3 linked regions of the Macaca fascicularis genome follow. The protein of the gene in region 2 purifies or fractionates together with the protein of the main gene of each other region. This does not show direct contact. Links are inferred from orthologs where the notes say so. Each region holds a gene or a part of one and is shown on either strand. Other genes may lie near its edges.

Region 1 (3,651 bases), on a different chromosome or scaffold from region 2:
AAATAAACTGATTTTAGGGGTGGCCTATCAGAAGGAAGTCTCTTGTGACACTGTTGCCCATTTTGTCAATCTATAAAAATACAGAGAACAGTAAAGTTGTAATTCAGTAAACTTCATAGAAGATTGGCAGTTTAGGTAGCTGAATCTTGACCCTGTCAGTAATTTGTGGAATTTTGTGTAATTACCGATTTTACCCCCTTAAATAGACAGGAAGTGTTTTACTATCAGGGTGGGATAGGGACAGTGAAAATAGAAAAAGTATTTCTGCACCCTTTTCCCTAAAGCCTAATGGAAGAAATCTCACTAGTCATACAGATACAATCACAACAGGCTGATTCTGAGAGGATCCAGACTAACCTATTACTGTGGGCAAATTTTTATTTATTGGTCCTCAGTTTAAATTATCTTTTGATAGTTTATCAGTCTTTACTCTTTTAAATTATTTTGTTGGTAAATTCTGTATCATGTAGTAAAAATGCATGAGCTTTGGAATCAGACAGTTTTGGCTTTATATATAAGTCCTACAATTATCTAACTGGACAGCAGTAAGCAAGTTACTTTGTCTGTCCCAATTTCATCATATATAAAGAGGGCACAAATGGTACTTCCCCCATAGGAATATTATAAGAATTAAAGGAGCCACTATATCACCAGCAATACCACTGCCACCGTCATCATTATTGCCACCCTAACAGCTAACACTTCAAAGGCACTTGAAACAATGCTTTGTTGATCATTGTTTTGCAATGCTATCTCCATAGAATCTTTTCATTCTCTGGGTTCCTAATCTTGTAAAATTATATTATTATATTTTAGGGTACCTAACAGTAAAACTTAAGAGTTAATTTTAAAAGCCTATGTGCTTACTAAGCTCTACATCTTATATGCTTTTCATTATGCTATTTCCTTTGCTCCCAAAGAGTTTTATCCACAAATATTGTCACTTGTCAGAGTCCCTTTGTTCCTTCTGTGTTAGAAGGGGTCAGTGTATCCACTGTTTGTATGTATAGTATTTTTGTCATCATGGTATTTCTTATATTTTCTTGTACCTTATCATTACTAGGATACAAAGTTTTGTACAGGTATGGGTTTGTCACCTCATATCTGTATTACCTGTATGTGCATTGCATACTATGTTCTTCACTAGGAAGATTATTTAATTGAAATATTTGTGAAAATGAATAACTTTAGACTTGGAAAATCTCTTTTCTAGATTAAATATAAGACACCTCAACCTATAGGAGAAGTATATTTTGCAGAAACTTTTGATAGTGGAAGGTTGGCTGGGTGAGTATTCATTCAAGAGAATGTTTTGATTTATTAGCTTTTTTGAAGTTATTAGGTTTTGACCTGTGAAAATTACCTCTATTACAGATCTAAAAAAAAAATTAAAGTAGTTTAATTGACAATGTAAATCAGTACTTAGTATATTTTTGTAATTGATAGAATGTTTAATTTGAATAGTTATTTATTCAAAGAAAATATACTAATTCTGAATGTAAAGATGAAATTTATCATATGTATTCATTCTGTAGGACAGATATTAACACTCTTTAAGTTCAGATGACAAATATGAGTACTGTTCTATTACAATAATGGAAAAAACAAAAATTAATATTAAAATTATTATGTGTCAGATGTCCTAAAAAGAAATAGATAATTACCATATTTAATCCCCATTTTACAAGTGAAGAAACCGAGGCTCCTTGTACCTTACCTGTGATCATACAGTTAGGAAATTATAGATTCCAAATTCGGTTTAACTCTAGTCCTCCAGGATTATGTGGTGAAGGCATCCTTATTTAGCATCTAAGTATGAATTTATTGTTGAATGAAAAGTGACTGTATTGGGTGATCTTTTGTTGTGTTTCTGTATGCATTATATCTATAAGTTGCTGATTTTATTGTTAATGACATATATGTATGTTCAACTTTGTTTACAGATGGGTCTTATCAAAAGCAAAGAAAGATGACATGGATGAGGAGATTTCGATATACGATGGTAAAATATTTAAGTATTAGATATAACCGCTATGGCCTGGAGTTCACTAACTTTTGAGATTATATTTTTGTTAAATGGTGTTGGCTGGAGTCCCCCATGCTGCCTCGCAATAAAATGTTCAGTCTTTTATCTTGTCCCTTTTCAATATTTCTGAAAACCCCTTTGCTATTTCTGAAAATCTCACTCCTAATCCAGTTAATCTAGTTTTCTAACTGAACAGTTGAATTTTCATTCTACTGCTGGTTAGTCTTTTGCATTTCCTGAAGCAGTATTTCCCAGGCTACTGTTGTCTCTATGGTTTCATCTCAAGCCTAGACACACCTAGATCAAATTATAATTTATGGTAAGATTCTCCTAGCAAGTAAAAAGCAGAGGATAACTAATGAGAGCTACAAGATATGTGGCTACTTCTGGAATCCTCATCTCCAGGCCTATATCCATTATCATAGGGTGTCTAATAGGATTATCTTCAGTCTTAGCTCTAGAAAGAAATGTCCTATAGGCAGGGGTCATATTGTCTTCCGTAACAGGACTACCTTAGAGTATAACCAACTATTTTCTTCTTTGTGATCTAAAAACCAGCCTCCTTGATTGTTATATGCTGAATCACGATCGGCCTCTTCTCACAGTGACTGATAGTGGTAATGTCTTCTTTCTCAGAGGACCTCATACTCATAAACATGTGACCTTGCGCTCAGACCCCAATAAGCAGTTACATCACAACAGCAAAACAGATAGTATGTTGGATGTCAGCTGTCTGATTCCTTTTCATAGTTTCTGTTTAGTGTAAGATAAAGGTCATACCTACATGTCTTCCTTTGCATCGTGTTCGCCATCCCAGCAAATCCCCTGTGCATGCATACACACACACACACATATATGTGTGTGTATGTGTATATATGTCTATATGCTTATCTAGTCCAAAAAGGACACCACCTCATATGCACAGAAAAAGCAGTAGAAGCAGTAGTGGGATTGCTGGACAAATAGTAGATCTGCTTTCAGTTTTTTAATAAATCTCCATGCTGTTTTCCATAGAGGCTATATTAATTTACATTGCACCAGCAGTATATAAATGTTCCCTTTTCACCACATCCATGCCAATTGTTTTTTGACTTTTTAATAATGGCCATTCTTACAGGGGTAATGTAGTATCTCATTGTGGTTTTAATATGCATTTCCTTGATGATTAGTTATGTTGAGCATTTTCTAAGCATGTTCATTGGCCATTTCTGTATCTTCTTTTGAGAAATGTCTATTTATGTCATTTGCCTACTTTTTGATGGGATTAATTTTTTTCTTACTGATTTGTTTGAGTCTCTTGATTCTGGATACTAGTCCTTTGTCAGATTCACAGGTTATTAATATTTTCTCCCACTCTGTGGGTTGTCTGCTTACTCTGATGATTATTTCTTTTGCTGTGCAGAAGTTTTTTAGTTTAATTAGGTCCCATTTATTTATTTTCATTTTTGTTGCATTTGCTTTTAGGTTCTTTGTCCTGAATTTTTTGCCTAAGTCAATGTCTAGAAGAGTTTTTCTGGTGTTCTAGAATTTTTATGGTTTCAGATCTTAGGTTTAAGTCTTTAATCCATCTTGAGTTGATTTTTGTATAAGGTGACAGGTAAGGGTCCAGTTTCATTCTTCCACAT
Region 2 (3,651 bases):
TCAAGCAGTTCTCCTGCCTCAGCCTCCCAAGTAGCTGGGATGACAGGCGCCCACCACCACGCCCGGCTAATTTTTGTATTTTTTAGTAGAGAGGGGATTCTACCATGTTGGCCAGGCTGGTCTCCAACTCCTGACCTCAAGTGATTCCCCCGCCTCGGCCTCCCAAAGTGCTGGGATTACAGGCATGAGCCACTGTGCCCAGCCGATCCTTATAGTTTTATAGTACTTCAGCACGTTGGCTTTATTTGATAATACCTAAAATATTCTATTAATATTTCTTTCAATTCTTTCTTGCCTTGCTTGTATTCTATACTGATCACAATTTAATCTTTCTTTGATTCACAATCTGACACAACTTCGGGGGCCCTAAGTGTGAGTCTGAGGTATTGTACCATGCTGTGCATAAAGCTTTATGTTAGAGTTTGGGTTGCAATTGTACTCGCTCCCAGCCATCCCTGGAGCTGCTTTCTCCTGTCTCCCTCATAGGTTTATCATGGTGTTTCTCAGTGCTACTTTGATCATATATCTTTGTTTTCTCCTGCCCTTTGCTGTTTGCCTTCACTTCTGTCTGCTACACTGGCAGGACTTGACTTTTTTTTTTTTTTTTTTTTTTTTGACATAGGGTTTTACTCTGTCACCCAGGCTGGAGTGTAGTGGCATGATCTCAGCTCTCTGCAACCCCCGCCTCCCAGGCTCAGGCGACCCTCCAACCTCAGCCTCCTTAGTAACTCAGACTACAAGCACGTGCCACCATACCCAACTAATTTTTGTATTTTTAGTAGAGCTGGGGTTTCACCATGTTGTCTAGGCTCGTCTCAAACTCCTGGGCTCAGGCGAACCACCCACCTCAGCCTCCCAAAGTGCTAGGAGTGCAGGCAGGACTTGACTTTTATAGCTACTTGGTTGTGTTTCTGACCATATTTAATGCTTTTAAAATTTCATATGAACTTGAGGTTTACCTTGCAGCAAGAGTTCTTTCCACCTGTGGAAAATTCCAATTCCTTAAAAGTTTTAGTAAATGAAGTTTTAGCATGGGTTTGTGTGTAGCTGCTTTGTGTTCATGTCACATTCTGCTGCAGCCTTATGAACAGAGGGGGGCATTTACATTTTTATGGTGACTAGATCTTACAATGAGTGGACTATCGGAAGTAGAAATCTGAGCCGTACAGAAACTTTTTACTACAATATTATACACCTTTAGAGATGTTATCTATGTAAGAAATCTGTTTCTTTTTGCCAACAATAATACTGTACTCTTAAGTTTTATATTACCAGTTTGGGGTTTCGTTCATTCATTCATTTATTTTTGGGACGGAGTTTCGCTCTTGTTGCCCAAGCTGGAGTGCAGTGGCACGATTGTGACTCCTCCACCTCCCAGGTTCAAGCATTTCTCCTGTCTCAGCCTCCCGAGTAGCGGGGATTATAGGCATGCACCACCATACCTGGCTAATTTTATATTTTTAATAGAGATGGGGTTTTGCCATGTCGGTCAGGCAGGTCTCGAACTCCTGACCTCGAGTGATCCACCTGCCTCGGGCTCCCAAAGTGCTGGGATTACAGGCGTGGGCCACTGCACCCAGCCAGGTTTCTTTTATTTAAAGCAAAAATAATGTTCATCCTTTCTCTTATTTATTTATTTATTTATTTTTTGAGACAAAGTCTCACTCTTTTGCCCAGGCTGGAGTGCACTGGCACGATCTTGGCTCACTGCAATCTCTGCCTCCCGAGTTCAAGCGATTCTCCTGCCTCAGCCTCCTGAGTAGCTGGGATTACAGGCACGTGCCACTACACCCGGCTGATTTTTGTATTTTTAGTAGAGATGGGGTTTCACCATGTTGGCTAGGCTGGTCTTGAACTCCTGACTTCAGGTGATCCACCCACCTCGGCCTCCCAAAGTGCTGGGATTACAGGTGTGAGCCACTGCGCCTGGCCCTATTTTTAACTTTTTGTTTGTTTGTTTAGCTGGAGTCTTGCTCTGTCACCCAGGCTGGAGTGCGGTGGTGCAATCTCAGCTCACTATAGCCTCTGCCTCCCAGGTTCAAGCAATTCTCCTGCCTCAGCCTCCTGAAACATTTTTTAATCGCATAGTATTTTAATACACCTTCCACAAATAGGCCTTAACTGATTGTTCCAATGCTATCTCCTGGTCGTTTGGTTGAGAAGTAGAACAGAAGCTATCCTTTTTTTTTTTTTTTTTGGAGGCGGAGTCTCGCTCTGTCGCCCAGGCTGGAGTGCAGTGGCCGGATCTCAGCTCACTGCAAGCTCCGCCTCCCGGGTCTACGCCATTCTCCTGCCTCAGCCTCCCGAGTAGCTGGGACTACAGGCGCCCGCCACCTCGCCCGGCTAGTTTTTTTTTTGTAGAGACGGGGTTTCACTGTGTTAGCCAGGATGGTCTCGATCTCCTGACCTCGTGATCCGCCCGTCTCGGCCTCCCAAAGTGCTGGGATTACAGGCTTGAGCCACCGCGCCCGGCCCAGAAGCTATCCTATATGAAATATTTTAAAGTTAACACAGTAATGTTCTTGCTTTTGACTAGTTTAACATTTAGTATTTTTTCTTTTTGATCATTTGATAATGGAATATGAGGTCTTCTAGGGAATTGATCTAAAAGAACTCTTTATTTTAACAGGTTACTTTTGATCCAGAAGTATTTTTCAACATATTACTTCCTCCTATCATATTTTATGCAGGTTATAGCCTGAAAAGGGTAAGTCCTTTTGTCTTTCATATACTTTGAATAATCTGAAACTCCGTGGGCTTTGTAATATTTGACACTTCAGAAATGGGCTGTTCTTTCCAGATTCCCTCCTTTCTCCTCTCCATACCCTTTTTAGATGTTAAAATTTATACCTGTACAAGAATGCTTTCTCTTATTTATCTTAGTGAATAATGCATTTAGTCCTAGTGAATAATGCATTTAATATTAGCATAGCATAGAAAACCTTTTCTTTTTCAAATAACTGGTAAGTATTCTAACAGTGTAACTTTTTTTTTTTTTTTTTTTTGTCAGAGACATTTTTTCCGAAATCTCGGGTCTATCCTAGCATACGCTTTTCTTGGAACAGCAATTTCTTGTTTCGTTATTGGGTAAGTATTTGAAGCTTAAAATACTTTGTAGCCTTCAAATTATAATTTTAAAATCATATATTTTTGATTTATGCAGTGTTATATTCCTGACTGGGTCTAAAGACTTTTGCAGTATTCTCATAGGTAATAAGTTGTTTGAATTTTCCTTAAGACCAAAGTATTACCATATTTCAATGACATGAATTAAATTTGGGATTAGTCACAAAGTACTACAGTAAACCCATCTTCTTATTCTTACTTTATCCTAATTTTTTAACAGTTGATATTTTTTTCTAAAGTAGGACTGTGTTTATTGAACAGGTCAATAATGTATGGCTGTGTAACGCTGATGAAGGTAACGGGACAACTTGCAGGAGATTTTTACTTTACAGATTGCCTACTGTTTGGTGCCATTGTATCAGCAACTGATCCAGGTATGTTTTATATGAGTGGAGTTTACATACTTGAGGTACATTGTTTTGCAGTCAAATACATGTGGGTTTTTCTTTCTTTGAGGTGTAGAATTCATGATTAGGTACTTCCTTAGTACTATACTTTCTAATTGTGGAGGAAAAAACAAAATTC
Region 3 (4,222 bases), on a different chromosome or scaffold from region 2:
AGGCGGAGGTTGCAGTGAGACGAGATTGCGCCACTGCACTCCAGCCTGGGCAATAGAGACTCTGTCTCAAAAAAACAAAAAACAAAAAAAAAACCTAAATAGATGCTTCAATAGCTGGGAAGTGGGGAGTGGAGACAGTGACCTGATGTTAACAGAGCGGATGATTTAAGAGGCTGGCGGGGCCACACCCAGTCATTATTCACTTTTCCCGTCCTTACCAGGTGCTCCTTTTCTCTATTTGAGCCTTTCTACCAACTCGCGTTTCTCTCTTCCAAGGACAGACCAAATCAAAAAAAAAAAAAAAAGAGGGTGGATACAGAATTTTATTTTTTAGAAGAAAAGACAAACCATATTAACAACTTCCTTCCCTACGATATAAAATGCCAACAGTTACGAAAACAGATACTGAACAGTCGGTCCTTAGCTGCAATCTGCGGCAATGACTAGTGCCTCAACAAATCATAAAGTCACTGGATTTGGAAAATAACCTACTATCAGTAAGAGCATAAATACCCTTCTAACTCACTGCAAACAGTCCCAGGAGTGGAGACTGGGTAAGATCTGGAAATTCGACTTAAAAAAATTCTGAAGGGAGCAGGACAAGGAGGGGAGGTACCAAGCTATCTCCAAACACCCCTCAACCCAGAGGCGCTTTAATGAATCTCTACCCCCGACTTCCCCCACAACTTCTCCACATGCCCCTTTAACTCCCCTCTACCCTCACCACCCCTCCCAAGTCTTCGATTGCTTCCTCGGTTACCTGTTCCCTAAGTCTCGAAGCTTGGGCAAAACTCTGCAGCCGAAGCGCCGGCCGGCAAGTAAGGGGTGCTGGCAGAGAACACCGGCGCTCGAGTGCCGTTCGTTCCACCTCAGGAGAAACTCGCACCGCCCTCCACGCGGCCCCAGGACCGCGGCGTGAGCCCTACCAACTAGCCCCGCCCACTCCCTAGGCAGGCCCCACCCCCTCGGCAAAGAGCTTTTTTGCCCTTGGCAGGCTCCGTAGGCTCCGTACAACCTGCTAGGCCCCACACTTTCCGCGCCAGCTAGGAGTGCGCGCTGTGGGGAGCCAGTGGGTGGGCGGTCCTAGCGCTTCCCACCCTTGCTCCGGGCCTCTGCTGTCACACGCCCGGGGTGGCGAAAGGGTCACCACCTGAGTCTCCATTCTGCTGCAGTGGTCCCTGCGTTACAGCTCCCTCGTGGTGCGCCTGCCGAGGCTGCTGTAGCTCCTGCGCCCCCGTGCTGGTGGCGCAGTCTCTGCTTGCTGCCGACCTGGCGGGAGGGTACGAGAGCGCACGCTACTGGCAGCGTCGGTCTGCGTCCTTCCTCCTCCTATTCTGACTCCCGCATCCCCCGCCCCCGCCTCACTCAACGCCTCCTCCCTGGCTGCAGGCAGACGGCTCCACACAGCCGCAGCGCCCGGTGTTTACACAGCCTGTGGGAGACTCGCACGCCCACACTCACCCCGCCTGGCTGCATCCCTGCCCAGCATGTCGGCGCTCGAGTGGTACGCCCACAAGTCTCTAGGCGATGGTATTTTCTGGATTCAAGAACGCTTCTACGAGTCGGGCAACCGTGCCAACATCTGGCTGGTGCGCGGCTCCGAGCAGGACGTGGTGATCGATACAGGCCTGGGGCTGCGCAGCCTCCCTGAGTACCTGTACTCTTCCGGCCTCTTGCAGGACCGCGGGGCCAAAGAGGACGCGGCGCGCCGGCCGCTGCTTGCCGTGGCCACCCACGTGCACTTCGACCACTCCGGCGGCCTCTACCAGTTCGACCGGGTGGCCGTGCACCACGCCGAGGCCGAGGCGCTGGCTCGCGGGGACAACTTTGAGACCGTGACCTGGCTCTCCGATAGCGAGGTGGTGCGGGCGCCCAGCCCCGGCTGGAGGGCCAGACAGTTCCGGGTACAGGCGGTGCAGCCCACCCTCATCCTGCAGGATGGTAATGGGCCCCCGCGGGCGCGCGCTCTCGTTAAGGGAGGGTATTGGGAAGAGACTGTCCGAGTGCCGCATGTTGCAGACTTGCGTGGCCATAAAGGGGATTATTTTGGCACCTCGCGGAACCACTTCTGTTACACCCTTCCCTAAGTAAAAACCTACTTGACCAGAGCCAAAGCCATCACAGCCTTCCCTGCCAGAGGCCAGCTCTGGCACCGTATAGCAATTCTGAGTACTTCTTTGAAAGCCGGCACTACCCCTCCCTAGCCAGTTTCCTGAGTCGGCTGTAGTAGTAACACTACAGAGACTTGTGACTGACTAGGGATTTCTTATTCTTTCCCTAAGCACCTACCCGACATTTCCAGGAGCTTTCGTAGTGAGTAGACTTTTAAGGAATGACGCCCCACGGGGAGTGCATGTCATGATCTGTGCTTTTGAGAACTGCAGACTTCATCAGCTTGGTCACCACCGGGTATGGGCAGTTCCCACCTGTAGCCTTAGAAAGTCATCAGAGCAGCGATTCCAATCCGCTAATGCGATTGGAAACCTCTCAGATAGGTTTCTGTTCTTGATGTTGACTCACGATTGCAAAAGCTTAATAGTAATCATAAACGTAGAATAACTTTATGACAGGTATCTGGTCCGGCTGAAAGCAAAGCCTGAGAAAGATCAATAAGGAAGTAATTTTCGGTAGAGGTAAATTATGTGGACTAATGCATAGGTAGCCATGGTCCTCTTTGGCTCTGTGAAAGACAAATATGGAATTCAGAGAGAAATCCATGGGATGAAAATAAATAGATTAGGGCCTCAGCCCATTTCCCTACGCAAGGACTTAAATAATTGAGCTAATTTGCCACATCAGCAATATTTGGTATATTAGTTTTCTATTTTCTTTTTAGTATACTTTTGATTTCATTTTATCCTCACAACACATTTAAAGTGAGGCCACTGACCTCCCAGTTAAATGGCTTGCCTGAGACAGATCATGATAAAAGCTAGGATATGAATCTAGGCACAATAGATCAAGGCATGCAGAACGTACATAAATCCTACCTCATAAATATATGATGATAATTCTGAGTAGAATGTGAAAGGCCCCTTCTTTCCTTTAGTGTGAGACTATTTTAATTACCAATTTGGTTTATTAAAACATGCCTCTATATAGTAGAAAAAGCCAGTTGCTGCAGTATAGTGAAGCTCACTTTATGACCAAACAATATGGCAAATAATGAAATATTTTACAAAAATCAGTTTATCTCACAGATGACATCTTACTCATTTGAGATATTTTAAAAATTGCAGTATTATATTGTATTACTTATCGGTGCTAAAAAAAAAAAAATTGCAAGATTCTGTACCTCAACCCCACCCAACAAAAGTCTTCATTAAAGTTTTAAATCTAAAATTAAAAAAAAAAAAAAAACTGGTTTAGATGGGAGTCTTACATTATCTGACAATATGAGATGAAAGTACATGTACATTAAATTTTAATTTACATTAAAGTCACACCTAATTACTGTATTTCTTGACAAAAATGGGTACTTTTAGGGGTAAGATTTCCATGCAGTTGATGGGTATTCAGACTAAATTCTGACACCCGGACCAAAAATGTTTACATTAGTATTAAAATATACTTAAATTATTGAAAAGAATAAATTACTTTTGAAATTGACTTTTGATTCTGTATCAGCAATGGGAAATCAAAGGTGAAAGAATGATAGGGATTGTTTTATAGATGAAGAAAGAACCCATGTAGGCCTGAGTATCATGCAAGAGGTCACATCACCCATCTCGGAAAGAGCTGGGACTAGAACCCAGGTTTACCAGTTGATGGTAGAATCCTAACATTTTGGGAGCTGAAAGGGGCCTGCAAACTACTTGTGTGGTACTTTAAGCCTTTAAAAGGGTGAAAAGAAAGCTTAATGTTTACCAGACACTTTGAAGGTGATAGTACTGTGTTATCAAAAGTTGTTTTTCATGAGGAGCTGGATGCCCCACCCTCTCAAGCAGTGTCTACTTTCCTCTCTTCTCAAGAATATTAATTTCCCATATCTTCTGAATGATGTGGCCTGCTAACTTGCTGTTAACATAATCCAGATGCCTGGGAGGATACATAAAATATTTGTATTAAAAATTTGTATACAGTTACACACATGAACAGCATAAAGTATTCATTGCTTTGGTAGAATGCAAGGAGCTGAAATCATTTATTACATTTCCTTTAATGAATTGATGATTGCTTGTCATGGAGAAGCAAAAATCTGTGCACTGTATCTCTAACCCAA

Evidence for each region.
Region 1: the proteins of SLC9A6 (region 2) and CLGN purify together in Homo sapiens (co-immunoprecipitation; 3 studies listed by BioGRID and IntAct, with this or other methods). This does not show direct contact. The link is inferred for Macaca fascicularis from reciprocal best matches to the Homo sapiens genes SLC9A6 and CLGN.
Region 3: the proteins of SLC9A6 (region 2) and MBLAC2 purify together in Homo sapiens (co-immunoprecipitation; 3 studies listed by BioGRID and IntAct, counting the BioPlex papers as one, with this or other methods). This does not show direct contact. The link is inferred for Macaca fascicularis from reciprocal best matches to the Homo sapiens genes SLC9A6 and MBLAC2.

The regions. Positions count from the first base shown.
Region 1 is NC_088379.1:145,557,198-145,560,848, reverse strand, and holds part of CLGN (calmegin), read left to right. Parts: intron 1-1,213; coding exon 1,214-1,287; intron 1,288-1,943; coding exon 1,944-2,002; intron 2,003-3,651. UniProt on the Homo sapiens protein: Functions during spermatogenesis as a chaperone for a range of client proteins that are important for sperm adhesion onto the egg zona pellucida and for subsequent penetration of the zona pellucida.
Region 2 is NC_088395.1:142,125,946-142,129,596, forward strand, and holds part of SLC9A6 (sodium/hydrogen exchanger 6), read left to right. Parts: intron 1-2,629; coding exon 2,630-2,707; intron 2,708-3,010; coding exon 3,011-3,087; intron 3,088-3,387; coding exon 3,388-3,500; intron 3,501-3,651. UniProt on the Homo sapiens protein: Endosomal Na(+), K(+)/H(+) antiporter. Mediates the electroneutral exchange of endosomal luminal H(+) for a cytosolic Na(+) or K(+).
Region 3 is NC_088380.1:94,475,525-94,479,746, reverse strand, and holds the start of MBLAC2 (acyl-coenzyme A thioesterase MBLAC2), read left to right. Parts: upstream 1-1,391; 5' UTR 1,392-1,487; coding exon 1,488-1,941; intron 1,942-2,289; exon of another isoform or gene 2,290-2,417; intron 2,418-4,222. UniProt on the Homo sapiens protein: Acyl-CoA thioesterases are a group of enzymes that catalyze the hydrolysis of acyl-CoAs to the free fatty acid and coenzyme A (CoASH), providing the potential to regulate intracellular levels of acyl-CoAs, free fatty acids and CoASH.